Linked DNA regions of Tamandua tetradactyla. Each later gene encodes a partner of the first gene's protein in a complex. Links are inferred from orthologs where the notes say so. Each region holds a gene or a part of one and is shown on either strand. Other genes may lie near its edges.

What was found.
Region 2: the proteins of PLEKHM2 (region 1) and ARL8B are in contact, whole or in part, in a crystal structure (PDB 8JCA), measured with the Homo sapiens proteins. The link is inferred for Tamandua tetradactyla from reciprocal best matches to the Homo sapiens genes PLEKHM2 and ARL8B. Residues at the interface, in NP_055979.2 of Homo sapiens: His70, Phe71, Thr72, Arg73, Arg74, Glu75, Glu103, Ser105, Glu107, Ser108, Tyr109, Arg111, Leu112, Glu115, Glu147, Phe148; in NP_060654.1 of Homo sapiens: Glu22, Thr52, Val53, Gly54, Phe55, Asn56, Met57, Lys68, Trp70, Arg77, Phe78, Arg84, Tyr85, Arg87, Gly88, Val89.

What each region holds. Positions count from the first base shown.
Region 1 is NC_135328.1:210,183,919-210,191,830, forward strand, and holds the start of PLEKHM2 (pleckstrin homology domain-containing family M member 2), read right to left. Parts: upstream 3,040-7,912; 5' UTR 2,612-3,039; exon of another isoform or gene 2,228-2,611; 5' UTR 2,217-2,227; coding exon 2,040-2,216; intron 1-2,039. UniProt on the Homo sapiens protein: Plays a role in lysosomes movement and localization at the cell periphery acting as an effector of ARL8B.
Region 2 is NC_135335.1:44,398,555-44,406,572, forward strand, and holds the start of ARL8B (ADP-ribosylation factor-like protein 8B), read right to left. Parts: upstream 3,060-8,018; 5' UTR 2,857-3,059; coding exon 2,734-2,856; intron 1-2,733. UniProt on the Homo sapiens protein: Small GTPase which cycles between active GTP-bound and inactive GDP-bound states.

The sequences.
Region 1 (7,912 bases):
TAAGCAAGGTCAGCTGAGAATGATGAGAGGGGGCAAAATAAAGTGATTTTTTGTTAAAGTTGTTTCTCCCTGGAGTCCATTAACTACGAGTCACGTTCAGAGACCACACCTTATACCTTGGATTTGCTAGGCTGCTCTTTGCCTGCTCCTGATTCCTCGAACTTGCTTAGGCCCTGAGACTGAGAACGGGTGGGCTGCACCCGTTGGGGCTGTCTCTCAAAGCCAGGAGGATGGCGCTCCTCCTAAGAACTTGGGGAAGACTGGCCTTCCCGGATTGCGCCAGGTCCCGTGGCTGCAGGGAAACGTGGGTGGCTTTCTCCAGCAGGCCAAGAAATGCCTGCACTGAGCATTTTAATTAGGGTTGGTCCCACACTCTGTTTGCTCTGAGCTGCCAGAGCCTAGCCCTCTCTGTCTCATTTCTCTCTTATAGACACACAAAGAATGCAAAACTATTTCTAGTACTATGGTTGACACCAAACAATCTTTCCAGAATTGGTCTGTAAAAGCTAACCCTAAGATGGCTGTGAAAGGTTATAAATGGCGAAATGAAAATAAAATGGTTATGGATGCCCTCCTTTTGTACATTCTCCCTGGTCGAGCAAAACCAAGAAGAGGTTATAATACTAAACAGATCGGGTGCTCTGGATTCTAACTCTGCTACCAGCTCGCAGGCTGTACTGGAGGTGGAGGTGGGGGGAGAGAAGGGTCACCACTTCTATATTTATGGAGCAGGATAAAAAACTACTTCCCCTACCCACCTCGAGAGAGTTTGTGAGGCTAGACAGGGAAGCGGCGTGCATGTTTTAAACTGTCTGACCACTCTGTGCTCCATGGCTGTGCCGCTGATCCCTGCTCACCACAAGGGATGTGCAGCTCCCTTCTGCTGCCCAGGGAGAGGTCGCCAGGTAACAGCATCCTCCCTACTGGCCCCGTGGAGAACAAACGTATTTAGACAACAGAAAGAGTGTGACAACTGAAGGGACGAGCCTCGTAGGGACCAGAACGCTTAGGTATTTTCACAACCTATGGTTCCCCAAGGCAGTTAAATCCTTTTCCTTCTTACAAGGCAAGTGTCCAAGCTCAAGGAACAATGATTGTTCCGCCTCTGAACTCAGCAGAGCTTGACCTCGTACATAAGAACCACGGATTCCTTTCAAAGTGGGAGGGAAGATGGTAAAAGGCTCCGCCAAGAGGTCCCTAGGCAAACAACCAGAAGGCAACCAATGGCCAGAAGGAACATGCAGCAACCACGAGTCCACTCAAGCCCTTTTCTGCTGGGACAGGACTGGAGCTGCAGGATCCCCGTGCCAGGGCCGTGCTTTCTGAGCGCCCCACGCTCAGTGCTGTGTGTGGCACTGGCAGGAGGAAGAGAGTTTTCAAAGCATCATTTTAGCCAGTCCTCCAAAGCAAAGAAGGCTTTACCGGGTCTGTGTTCATCTCTCACTTCCCTTTTCCTCTGCTGGACCTACAACATGACCTCATGAGTGCATGATGCCCTGTTTGTTACTACGGAAAAAGCGTCATCAAATCCCTGTTTAAATCACATTAGGTCTGGAGGTCACTGGGGAGATCCTTGCCTGCTTTCCAAGTCCCAGATAACACAAATACTTCACAGATTGAAAATGTAAATCCAGGGCTAAGAAGAATGAGAACTTCATGGACTACAAATCCACAGGAATGTCTGGGAGGGTGTACACTGTCCCACTGCAATTTGTTTCATGTCTGTCTCCCCATCTAGAATATAAGCCCCATGGGGACAGAAGCTTCTTGGTATGTTTTGATCACTGCTGATTCCTAATGCCTAGGAATGTACTCAGCACAGAACAGTCATTCAACAAATACTTGTTAAATGAATGGGTGGTTTTATGGGGGACCAGCCCACAGGACTGACCTGTGGGGACATATTACCTGTCATAATCTCAAGACAGACATCACAGAGATGGAAAAGACTCAGAGATTGAAGGAGCAGGAGCCAGAAAATAGTTCAAATCCCAACTCTGCCCCTACAAGCGTCATAACCTTACGTCTCCAAATCTCACCTCCCTCATGTATAACACTGGATCATAAGCCATCCTGTAGACCTGCTCCGAGACGAGATGAGAAAGCACGTGAAAACACATCACACAGTGCCTGGCATACAGCAGGTGCTGACTCAGTGTAAGGATTCTTGGAGGTTCTGTAACTCCCCTGCCTCCCATTGCGTTTGGATACTTCATGCCTCAGTAGTCTGTTAACACCGAAAAAACAAAGGACTTTGGGGGAAAACGTGAAGAGAAAAAGTTAATTTCTCACTAACATTAAGTCTAGAGATTTTTATGGATTTCACTAGTCTCTTCCTTGTTCTCACATCTGATTAGGCTTCTTAGAATCTGTTAGTTCCAACCTTAAATACAAATTGTGGGGATTATAGGAAACTAATACTTTCTTTCTCATTAATTTCCATAATATTTGTACACACTTATAAGCAAGGGGGGAAAGATAAATCACAAATACGTAGAATGGGAGATAATGATGGGGAGGCAGGGCCAGCCGCTTTGTTGAGAAGAGCGGACCTGCATTCAGGGCCCTGGGACAGTTACAATAAACAACAGCTCCAGCCAAATGGACTCACCCAGAAATCTTCCTTGTTCTGTCTCAAATGGAAGTTTTAGGATGTTTGCACCTTGAGCAAGCAACAATGAGGAGACGGACAGGGCTGGAAATGAAAGTTTGCTCAAACAAGCCAGGCCTGCTGGCTAGTTTACTCTCAAGGAAGAGATTCTGGGTTTGGAGTTGTTCATTTTACCAGGTTTCTGCACTGCAGAGCTCCAGCTGAGAAAACTGCCTTATCAGTGAGACTACCTGGAAAAGTCCTTTATCCTAAGGGAGAAAAGACTTTCCTTAGACACAGGGGTTCCACGAGCTTCACGCTCTTGCCATGGTGATGAATCCTGAGGTCTGAGACAAGCACCAGTGACCCAAGAGTGCAGAAGGACCCAGAGAACCCCACGGGATCTACAAATGCCAACCTAACTCTCCCCACCGTGCTCACACTCTTAACACCAGCTCCTTTCTTCCCATATTCTGGACCTAGTCCCACCCTCTCACCCCCACCCCCACCCACCCCAAGAAATCTTGCTGGGAATTTCTTTTCAGTGCTCCATCTGAAACTCCCAAGTGTTAATGGTTGCTGTGATCAGAAAGTCAGCTGTAGTTCACCCCTTTCAAACAGGGAGCCTATTGGATGGAGTTACTCATAGGCTGGGGAGCCCGCTGTGCACACCTCAGAGGATCCTGGCTGGGGACCTTCTGGATGGCCTCGATTCTGTAGAAGAGAGGAAAGGAGAAGAGAAATAGCTGCGGCCTCTGCTACCAACATGAGCACATAGGCAGAGGAAGAGGAAGCCAGGAGAAGGAAACCTGGTCCTTACCACTTCCACAGTAAAATACATGTGCCTGAAGTATTTTATTTAGATCTTTGCCCTGGTGTAGGTCCTCAGGGATTTCAGAACATTTAAAACTCTTAAGAGTTTTTTTCCATGAGATTAGAGAGAAAAACCCAATTAATCTAAACCAAATGGCCAACATGATTCTCACAGATATCAACCAGTCCTTCTCCAGAATTTTCAATCAGCAGCTAATTTTTAACGCAGTAGCAGATCTAACTTATGTGTGGAGTGGGAAAATAGGGAAAAGCTCATCAGCCCAGGGGGGCCCTGCAGCCACCCAGACGGGCCGGGTTGAGCAACAGCTGCAGCTTGGTAGATCCTGACTGGGACTCCTGCTCAGCATGGGGTGTGCCCGGCCGGAAATAGAACTGCACTCAGGGCCTCACGTGGCCGGGCGTAAGTGCCTGCCACATCGAGGAGGCAGGCGGGAGGCCTAGGAAGAGATGGCTGTGGCTCAGTCACGGGCGCTGAGGGATGACTGTTTCTTAAAATTCATTTGTCCTACTTTAGGGGAGCGGAATCATGGCAGAGGAGAGGGAGAAAAGGGGACTCATTTTTTTACATCATACACTTTTGAGCAATTTGTGTGGCTTTTTATTATTAGTATTGTGGTAACATATATAAGCAACATGAAAATTTGCCATTTCAACCATTTTGAAGCATACAAATTCTATGACATTAGTTATTTTTACAGCATTATGGTACCATCATCTCTTTTCACTACAAAATCTTTTCATCACCCCAAAATAGGATTTGTGTTTTGTTTTTTCGCATGGGCAGGCACCAGAAATTGAACCCGGGTCTCCGGCATGGCAGGCAAGAACTCTGCCTGAGGATTTGTGTATTTTTAAAAATAACTACTTATTATATATTTAGAATGATTTTTCCTTGTTATCCTAGTCAGTGTTTCTTGCTGGATACAACATCACGTCCTTAGGGAAGTCTTCTGGGACCACCTCCTCCAAAGCAAGCTTCTGGCTGATTCCTTATATTATCCTGCCTAGTGCCTTCTTAACACTTACTGGGATCCAAATTAATCTTTTTATTATCTGTCTATTAATTTATCACTCATCGTCTGCTACTTGAATATCAGCTCCATAAGGGCACAGACCTGATTTGCCTTTGTTCACTCCCATAACCCTTAGGCCTAGAACAGTGCCAACACATAGTAAGTGTTCAGCAAATATTTTCAAATAACTGAATGCATAGACACTTGATGGGACTTAAAAGTGTCCAGTTCCCTCGACAAGGCTGACCTGATGGGCAAAGACAGTCACAACAGAGAGGTGGGTAAGTGCAGGACTGGTCACACCAACTTCTCTGAGAGTGATTCCCAGTCTACCTGGGTGAGGACTTCTTGGGCACACACTCATACATACACATATACATGTTCTTGTCTGTAACTATGGTTCATTTCTCTTCTCTAAACCTGATATATACTTTTGAGACAAGGGTTTGGGTCAAGGAAAATAACAGGGGTCAGGAAACTACAGCCTGAGGGCCAAATCCAGCCTGCTGCCTAATTTTATAGATAAAGTTTTATTAGAACACAGCCACATCTATATGTTTACGGATTACCTACGGTTGCTTGTGAGCTACAAGGGCGCATATGACCCATAAAAATATTTACTATCTGGTCTTTTAAGAAAAAATTTGCAGAACCCTGAGCTTCAAGAAACTGAGAAATGCTATAAGACTTTAACTTAAAAACTTCCCTGAGTAAACTGCAGGCTCACATGACATTTGTATGTAATAATAGTAGCTAGCATTTTATTTTGGCCCTATGTGCTAGGTATTATGCTAAGTGCTTTAAGTATATTATCTCATGTAATTTAATTCTCATTACAATGCTAGATGTAAGTTCTGGCTGCTGAGGCTAAAAGAGGTCCAGTAATTTTCTGGGGCTACCATGGTCAGTGAGGGACCCAGAATCGGAACCTGGACCCACATCTGTTTATCTCTGTTGCAACTTATATTCATACGGTTTTCACAAAAGCACTTTCCAGCCACATGTAGCAGAACCCCCAGTGCTCTTGAAACTGGTCTGTCTCCTCACTGTCCCCAAAAGACCACCTGAACACCCCCACTTCCGTGGGGAGGCTTAGACTCCTCCCATCTTGTACACCTACTTATTTTCTTTCTCTGAATTCTACCCATCTGTCAAAATCAATTCAGCCTTCCTTCACTGAGGGCTTCTCCTTGTCCTAGTTTTTTTTTTTTTTAATTCTCTCCCCAGCCAATATACAAACTGTTGGAGGGCAGAGACTGCTGCTTTTCTTTTCTTTTCTTTTCTTTTTTTTACATGGGCAGGCACTGGGAATTGAACCCAGGTCCTCAGGCTTGGCAGGCAAGCACTCTTACCTGCTGAGCCACTGTGGCCCGCCCCAGAGATTGCTTCTTATAGCACAAAGCCTTAGTTCACACTGCATGCAAATGCAACAAACACTCAATGCGCTTCAGATGTTAAATAAAACTCCCATGAAAACCACTGGCTTCCCTCTCCTGGAGAAGATGCTACTATTCAGTATTACCACACGCCAATTCCAACATCAACATTATAGCTGCCTTGGACCTTTCTCTTTAAGTATTAAATCAGTAACCACAAGCTTTGTTATCTGCACCTGGGATGTTTTTGCTATCCCTCTTCTGAAAAGTATGACACTTGCTTCTCCTTATTGTCTTTATTTGTATCAACTATTAAATCCCCCAATTTCCCTTAACCCCGGAGAAGCCTGGCTCCGTATCAGAGAACACAGGTTTCCTTCACTGTGGGTGGGATAACAGCTGATGCATCAATTTGGTCTTCCAGTGCATGCTTGTTATCACAAAATCTAGGTGTGAAAATAGTTCAACTCACCAATGCTGCTTGGGGATGGTGATCACTGTTGGGGGTGTGGTTTCAGGGAAGGGACACATGAGCAGGGCTTCTGGGATGCTTGTCATGTTCTGTTCCTTGATTGGGGTGCTGGATATGTGGGTGTATTCACTTTGTGAGAACTCAAGCTGCACCCTTAGGATCTGTGTGCTTTTCTGTAGGTAAGTTATATGCAAACACAGAGATACATAATGCATCTTTCTTTGCAGAATTTACACATCTCATTTATGTAACATCCTTAGGGAAGGCACTTTACTAGTGGTAGGATGGAAGAAAAAGGCCATGCAACTATTAAGGCGCTGTAGAACAAATTTAAGTGAGACTGGTCTTCAAAGACAAATCTAACCCCAAGACTGCTGACCTTCAACACCTACTACTTAAGGCAAATTTACAGATTCTTACTAGAAGCAGCGACTCTGATTCAGAAAACCAAATACACTTGATAATGCAAGAATCGTATCACAGTTCTCTGAAATAAAGCATACAAAGGAAGTGGCTAACAGGTCTAAATGGTATTATATAACAACCTTTAGCACTTGAGACATCTTCAGACCTTGTAAAAGTGAGAAATTGGCTCTACCACAAACAAGCTACCATTTATTAAGATGGGGGCGGGGGGTGTCAGGCACCACGCTAAATATCCTACATACATAATTTCATTTAATCTTCACATCAACCCTAATGCTACCTCTGCTTTACAGATGAGGAAACTGAGGCACGGAGTGGTAGAACTCTTAATTAAGGATTATTAATTGACAAGATGGGGATGCAAGCCCAGCAGCCAGACTCTAGAATCCATGTTCTTAACCATGAAACTAGTCACATCTTTGATTATGCACCCAGTTCCAGTTTCTAGAGAGCAACTTACATTTTCTGGAGGTCATTATAGCTCAGTCAAATGTGCTTGTCCAAATGTACACAACTATAAGTATCTTGGCAAACACACTCAACTCTTTCATAAATGAGAGCCTGGTTTACAATGGATCCGTGCCTCCACAATGGATCCGTGCCTTCACAATGGATCCGTGCCTTCAAAAGACCCGTGCTCACATAGGAACAGACTGCCCATGGCATCACCTACTCATCCAGGGACCGTCCCCATATATCTAGAATCGAAAGACAAAATGTTCAGCCCAAATGTAGCCATAATCGATCCAGATTCTATTGGAAACATCAGCAGTCTTGCTTTCTCTCCCATTATGAAAGATGCAAATACTTTAACTGAGTATTTTGCTCCTCCTACTCTCCTTGAGTAAGCAAAAACTATATCCCATTGCATTAGCAGAGCTCCAGAAAATTAATACAACTCTTGTTGGGTTTCAGTGGTGGTAAACTTTTAACAGTACTTTCAGAGAAACATTTTGGTAAGAGCTTTTTTTTTTTTTCCTGCTTGGGCAGGCACCAGGAATTGAACCCAGGTCTCTGGCATGGCAGGTGAGAACTCTGCCTATTGCACCACGGTGGTCTGCTCTGTTCTGCTTTTCTTTTTAAGCCACATTTACCTCTTCGAAATGTAAAATTGCTTGCCTGTATTACTGTTGGGGAAAAAAGCACAGTTTTCAAAATATAATGGTTGATTTAATAAATTCTCTTCATTTCGGTTCACTGA
Region 2 (8,018 bases), on another chromosome or scaffold:
TACATATAAGTATTTCAGCTTCACATATCTGTTAAGGTAAATATTTACAAAATCTTTCTTAACTTTTAAGAGAGAAAATATAGCTAGATTTACTTTAATTTTTACAAAAGTTTTGTAATACTGACATGATTCAGTATGACAAAAAGACAAATGGTTTTAGAAGAAGCTTTTGAAATCTGGGAAGTTACTTGCTAAATCTGAGTAAATAGGTGCCCAATTTTCAAAAGTGATACACAGTGCTCAATACATCTGCACTTCTCTGAGCCTACAAATAAAGCCTTCTATAATACAGAGAGCCGAGTCACTTTTTAAAAAAGTAAGCATAAATTTACTCTTCTGGATACATTGTTTCTATCTGAAAGTCTGTAAAATCAACTTTAATCAATTTTTCCCTCCCCCTCACTATATTCCAAAAAAATCACAAGTTAGGTTAGAGTCTGAGACAAAAAAAATTAAAAGGAAGAAAAAAAAAGCATGAAGTTTCCTGAGGCCTCCCTTCTTTGAGCCATTTTAAAGGCCACAGCCAGTTACAGTCCATATTTCTTAAGAGAACCTAGTATACCATTACAATTCAAACACAATATAATCTAACATTAACATAACATTGAAACCAATGATTCAATTTGAGTTCAACAGATTTCTAGATTTTTTTAAAGTAAAATAATCTAATACTAAAAAGAGAGAATGGGGGGGAGACATGATGTGATTATTTGCCCCAATCCATAAATCCATTACTGCAGCCCAAATTTGGATGCATACAGAGATTTAAAAAAGGAAATGACCCCAGCTGAGTCCCTCCTCAATACATTTCAAAACATTGTTTCTGCATTAAATGATGTTACTCACTACAAATAAGTTATCATGGCTAGGCATGCTGCTCCTCAATTAACATGTGTCATTTCAGACGTTAAAAGCAACTCTGTAAGGAATATATTATTATTCCCATTTAATAGATAGGAAAGCTAGGACTCAAAGAGGATACAAAACTGCCAAGTGGCAGAGCTACATTTCAAACCCAAGGCTGCCTGACTTCATCATTATATCAATTTTTTTAACTTTTCCAAATACAACTACTGCTTTGTAACAAGCACAATTATTAGAATTGTATATGTACCTACACTATAAATTAGATCAATCTGATCAAAGGGATAGGATTTACAAAGTGACTCCAATTCTTATCTCAAAGGAGCATGATAAAATTTATATAGTTAACTGAGCTCAGCTTCACTCAGGTTAAAGTCTCTCTTTTCTACATATGAAAGTTCTTAAATGGATACTTAGCTTGTTTTTCTGTATTTTTAGTGGTTTTAGATACACATTTCACACTACTATATCCATGAAAAAAAATAATCATTTCAAGTTTCCTTTCCCCAAAAAAAGAACATCATATTACAAAAAAAAGCCAATAAACAAGCAAGTTTTCTTTATATTTCAATGAAACATTCCTCAGAGGCAGTTTGGATTGTATTCATCTCTCTTTTTTCAAGTTTTACTGACTCCTGTTGCTATATTACTGCAAGGACTAAGAATCACAAGTTACCTATTTTCTCCAACAAGAGAACAAAACATGTTTGAGTCATTCCTGTAACCAAACCAGTTGAACTCCTAGTCTCCTGCTAAACAGGGATTTCAAATGTCATCTTAAAGGAGACAGAACTGATGGCATTTCTCTTTAGAACTGTTCTACATCTAATCCCTGGCCTCTACAAACTCTTATTGGCTGATTGAGTCACAGCAACCCCTGGGCTCTAAATAAAGGCTGATAAAAATGCTTCACTTCTGTTCCTTCCCCAACAAACCAATTAACAAAAGAATCTTAATCATCCTTCCATTCAGTCATTGCTGAATAAACACCACAATGTATAAATTCCCTGGGAAATGACCTTACTGGAAACCTATTCCCGAGCCTGGAATAAACCGTGTTTCTGCTCAATCCCTTCTCTTCTCTTCAAGTGACAAACATCCTCAAAAGACCAACCTTTCATTCACAAGGTAATAAACTCTGCTGACCACACTGCATCTCCTCGTTTAAAACAACTAGCTCTGCAAAAGCAAGGCCCCCTAACACCACAGATTAATATCGTTGAACTACCGTCGACTGACTAGTCCTATCCCTACCCAGCTTCTAGCAGCAGGCTCAGCAATCAGCTGGATCTCGGCCCCTGGAAGATGAGCGAAAAGGAATAACCGAAGAAAAGAGAGATTTGTAGAATTACAGGAGCCAAACCGAGCATATACAATTCAGACCGTACTGGTCTCCCGCCTTTCTCATAAAGGAGCCCTTCGTCCCAAGTGGTGATTTGAAGGAGGCTCTTAATCCTTTCGCTTTCCCGCAAATCTGAGGGTCTAGCTACCCTACGGGGAAAATGACAGTCCAGAGTTAACCCGTCAGTTACCCTTACTGAGCAAACTCGAGAGAATGCCCAGTTTCAAGCACTTTAAAAACGTGGCAAGTCCAATTTAACCCTTTCCAAGCCCCAGTGGCGTCGAAGACACAGTCCTTCGAAAATGACTAGACGGAATTAACCCTTCAGCTGCCGATCTCAGCACTACACGTCAGCCACCACCTCGCGGGGAATTCCAAATCCTGGCCGGGCCTGGTAGCCCTCTCGCCTCTCCCCCCACCCTCGACATTTGTCCCCTGGCGCTGAGGAAAGCCCAACCCGAGCCAGAGGGAAAAAGCTGGGCCGGACTCGCGCACCACGGAACCCCGAGCGGGCCGGCGAAGCTCACCGCGATGACATTGACGAACGTAGTCTTGCCAGAGTACTGCAGCCCCACCAGCGTCAGCTCCATCTCCTCCTTCCAGAAGAGCGAGCGGAACCAGTCCAGCAGGCGGGAGATGAGCGCCAGCATGATGGCGGCTAGAAATCAGGACCGGCAACCAGATGGACGGGCGGTGGCGGCAACGGCTCCCACACGAACGGGCCGTAGCCCGGACCCCTCAACGGCTCCTCGGGGTCCCGGGGCGACGCGGGCTGACACTGGCGGGCGGCGGCGGCCGGAGCCAGGAAGCCGAGCGGGTCATATGACTCGCCCTCCCCCTACGTCCGTCCCCGCGCAGATGCCGGCGCCCACGGCAAGAGCGGCGTAATTCTCTGGCCAGGTGCGCCCGCCGCGCGCAACGCCACCTGGTGGGGCTATCCCGCAGCTCAGCCTTCCGATCGGCTGTCCTAGGTCATCACCCCTCCTTAGCTCATTCATTGTTGGTTAATATCATTCCTTCACTCATCTCCATTCTCTCAGTCACTCATTCACTCGCTTATTCATTCACTCACTCACTCACTCACTCATTCATTCATTCATTCATTCATTCATTCATTGTGCATCTAACCCTTGCAGAAGACTACAGGACTCTGAGGAATTCATCATGGGATAAAAATTCTTGACCTACATTGTTGGTAATAGGAAAAGATAGAAAGCCACGATAAGGATCTGATTAAATAAACTATGTTAGATCCCAAAAATGGAATACTACAGACTTGTAAAAAATGAATGAGGATCTACTTAAAATGGATCAAAGACCTAAATATAAGAACGAGAACTATAAAACTCCTAGCATCTCCAGGACCTTGTGTTAGGCAGTGATTTCTGAGATTTACACCCAAAGCACAAGCAAGAAGTGAAAAAACAGATGAATGGAACCTCACCAAAATTAAAAACTTCTGTGGATCAAAGGAATTTGTAATGAAATTAAAATGACAACCTACACAGTGGGAGGAAATATTTGGAAACCACATATCTGATAAGGGTTTACTATCCAGAATATATAAAGAAATCCTACAACTGAACAGCAAAAAGATATATAACCCAATCTAAAAATGGCAAAAGACTCGAATACACATTTCTACAAAGAGGATATACAAATGGAAAAAAAACATGAAAATGAAAAAGCTAGAGTGAGCACAGCCCAAATACCCCTAAAAAGTGAGAGAAAAATCAAAGGTGATGGTGGTAAGGTTTAACAAATGAGTATGATTACTGAATCATTATATCAATGTTTCTTTTAGTTTCCAGTACCTGAGAGCAGCTAGAAGTAAAAATGAAAAATTGTGGAATTGTAACTCATACCAAACTCTGAAATCTGTTCTACAACTAATTGTTGCGATGTAGTTTGAAATGTATTGCTTTTTTTTGTATATATGCTGTTTATCACAAAAAAAAGGAGAGAGAAGGAGTATAACAGAGAAGATAAGATTTATCCAATGAGACTGCCGAATCATTATATTGATATTTCTTTTGGTCTCCAGTGTTCTGGAGCAGCTAGAAGAAAAAATGAAAAATCTTGGGACTATAACCCATACCAAATTTTAAAATTTGTTCTACAACTACTTGTAAAAATGTATTTGGAAATGTATTGCTTTTTGTGTATGTTCTATTTCACGATAAAGAAAATGTTAAAAAGAAAACGCATGAAAAGTTGTTCCATGTCATTAGCCAATCCACTAGAATGGCAACTATTAAAAAAATTGAAAAACTACAAGTACTGAAGAGGATGTGAAGAAATAAGAACACTCATTCATTGTTGGGAATGTAAAATGGTGCAGCCACTGTGGAAGACTGCTTGGCATTTCCTCAGAAAGCTAAGTATAGAACTATCACATGACCTAGGAATCCCACTACTAAATATTGACCTCCAAGAAGTGGAAGCAGAGATTGAAACAGATATTTGCACACCAGTGTTCATAGTGGCATTATTCACAATTGCCAAAAGATGGAAGCAACACAAGAGTCCATTGATTGATGAATGGATAAACAAAATGTGGTTTATACATGCAATGGAATATTACTCAGTCATAAAAAATGAAGTTTTGATGCATGTGACAACATGGATGAAGCTTGGAGATATGTTGAGTGAAACAGGACAAACACAAAAATGACAACTATTGTATGATCTCACAGTTATGAAATAGAATACGCAAATTCATAGAGTAAAAAACTATAATTTAGGTTACCTGGGACTGAGGTAACAGTTGGGGATGTGAAGTTCATGTTTTAATTGTACAGGGCTTCTATCTGGCATGGTGGGAAAATTTGGGTAATGGATGGTGAGATAGCAACACAACATTGTGAACATAATTAAAAGCCCTAAAATGTATATTTGAATTCAGTGAAAAGGGGGAATTTGGGGTTGTATATATGTTACTAGAATAAATTTTTTAAAAAGAAAATACATAGGACTATACAAAGCAAACATTGAACCCTAGGATAAACCATGCACTATAGTTCAATTATAAAAATATTCCTTCATCAGTTGCAACAAATGTTCCATGCTAATGACGGATGTTAATAATAGGATGGTATATGAAAACTCTGTGTTTTATCAGGATTTTGCTGCAAACATACAACTCCTCTAAAAAAAAAAAAAAAAACCAGAAGGGGGGATGAAGGATTATTGCTTAACAGGTAAAGAGTTTCTGTTTGGATGATGAAAGTTTTAGTAATGGAAGGTGGTAACGGTAGCACAATACTGCAAAAGTAATCAATGCACATTTGCATTGATTGCAAATGACTTGCACATCTAAAAGTGGTTAAAATGGCAAATATTGTGCTTTCTATATATGGTAACACAATGTAAAAAACTTAAAAATTATTTTTTAAAAAAGAATGAGAAAAAAAACAAAACGAGGAAGTTCTTTATGGACAGATTTGAATGACATCCAGGAAGTATTCACAAGAAACAAAAAAGCAAAGTGCTTTGGTGTAAGATAGAAAAGAAAATATATGCACGTATATATTTGCATAAAGAAATACTGGAAGGATAAATAATATAGTGATAAAAAATGGATTTATGGGATCCAGGTGGCCATGGGCATGAATGCGAATGAGTCCTCTGGGTACCTTTTTATATCTCTTTGACTTTTCAACCATGTAAATGGGTTGCCTGTTCCAAATTTTAATTTGATTGAAAAGCAAATAAAATATCCTTACGGCTTTCAATTTTTTGAAAAAGCCCCTGTTGTCATGGAGTTTACTTACCTTCAAGTGTGGGACACATATAATACCATAAATAATATAGGATATAATGCCTGGTAGTGATAAATGTTATGGAAAAAACTGAACAGGAGAAGGAGGCAGAGAGTAGCCCTCTTGGAGGAGGCAGCCCTGGGTGCAGAGAATTGGGTGAGTGAGAAAGAGAACATACATCTGGTGCAAAAGCATCCCAGGCAGAGAGAACAGCAAAGACCTTGATGGTGGAAGGAACAGGACATGTTCTAGGGACCGAAAGACAGGGTGAGAAACGCCGATTAGTAAGAGAGGCAGTGGAAGAAGAGGATGGAGAAAGAGGGTCAGACCAGGTGAAGTAGGACATGGTGGCCCTAGTTTGGATTTCACTCTCAGTATAGTGGGAGCTTTTGAAAAGTTCACTTTGGTGGCTCCAAGGGGAACTGACTGCAGGAGGACAAGAGCAGAAGCAGTGAGACCAGTAAGGAGGCTATTACATTAACTAAAGGCAATGATTTTGCCTTTAGTTAGTAGTGGGAACGCTACTTAGTAGGCATTTAGGTTTCTGCTGTCAGGCAGCTTCCATTCTGATGGAAGAGATAGACAATGAACAATAAATTAATAAATAAGCTAATTTCATATATATATATATATATATATATAACGAAATTGTATCCCTGTGGTGGATATACAACAGAGGGCTACTGGGCATCTCTTCCCTACTCCATGTTCAGAAATATCACTTTTGGTAACTTGAAATTAACCACGGGGGGAAGTATCTACACCTCAGAAATTGACAAACACTTTGAATTAGGACTTTTTTCCCTCCCAGAGAATCAGCTGTTATGCATTTACCAGCAAATCATTGATAATACCTAACTCACAGCATTAAAATGAGGATTACATAAAATAATATTAAATTAGATTAAGTAAGGTAATGAAAAGCAGATAATATAATTATTGAGCACTGGCTACATCATTAAATTGACTGATTCCAATCACACAGATCTTAGCTGTGTGATCTGGGCAAGGAGCTCAACCTCTCTGTGCCTCCATTTCCTGGAAAAGAAGATACCATTATTATCTGCCTCAGAGGGTTATTGTGAGGTGTAAATGGAAGAGTCCAATACCAATGCACAATGCAGCATTAGCACTCACTAAATGCTAATTATTATAGTAGTTCTGGACGATTGGTTAACAGTTCAAAGGTTCAGTTTCTCATCTCTAAAATAGAAGCAAGGACACCACCTTTAGTTACTGTTTTAACTGAGGAGGCATTTTCTGCTGGGTGAGCTCAGTAGTGTGTAAAGCCCAGTGTACTGTTCCCTTTGATCTTTGTCTAGAATTAAGTTAAAAGAATGGGAACCCAGGTTCATGTGCTCGGACACATGGATCCATTCACAGATTACGTAAAAGGTCAGGAACCCCAGTGTCCTGGGAATGTGGATGGAGGGCGCAGAGGCAAAAGATAAGATTGACCTGCATATTTGCTGTGTGACTGTGTAAGAAAGGTAAATTTTTACGGCATCAGAGATGAATGAATCCTTGAAGACCATTCTAGATTTACCTACAGTAAAACTGATTCACAGAGGAGGGAAATATCACACTTCAGGAAATAATTTTAATTTATAAACCCCTTAAGGACCGAGACCATTTCTACCTAAATCAACACTCAATATGTTCCCCCTGGCAAAGTGGGACAGAACTCCTGGGATGAGCCTCAATCCAGCATCATGAGAAAATCTTCTTGACCAAAAGTGGGAAGAGAGACTGAGACAAAATAAAGTTTCAGTGGCTGAGGGATTTCAAACAGAGTCAAGAGGTTATCCTGGAGGTTATTCTTACACATTATATAGAAATCCCTTTTTAGTTTATGGTGTATTGAAGTAGCTGGAGAGAAGTACCTGAAACTGTTGAGCTATGTTTCAGTAGCTTTGATTCTTGAAGACAATTGTATAAAGATACAACTTGTACAGTGTGACTGTGGGATTGTGAAAACCTTCTGTCTATTGCTCCTTTTATCCACGGTATGGACAAGGAGTAAAAAATATGGATAAGGAATAAATAAATAA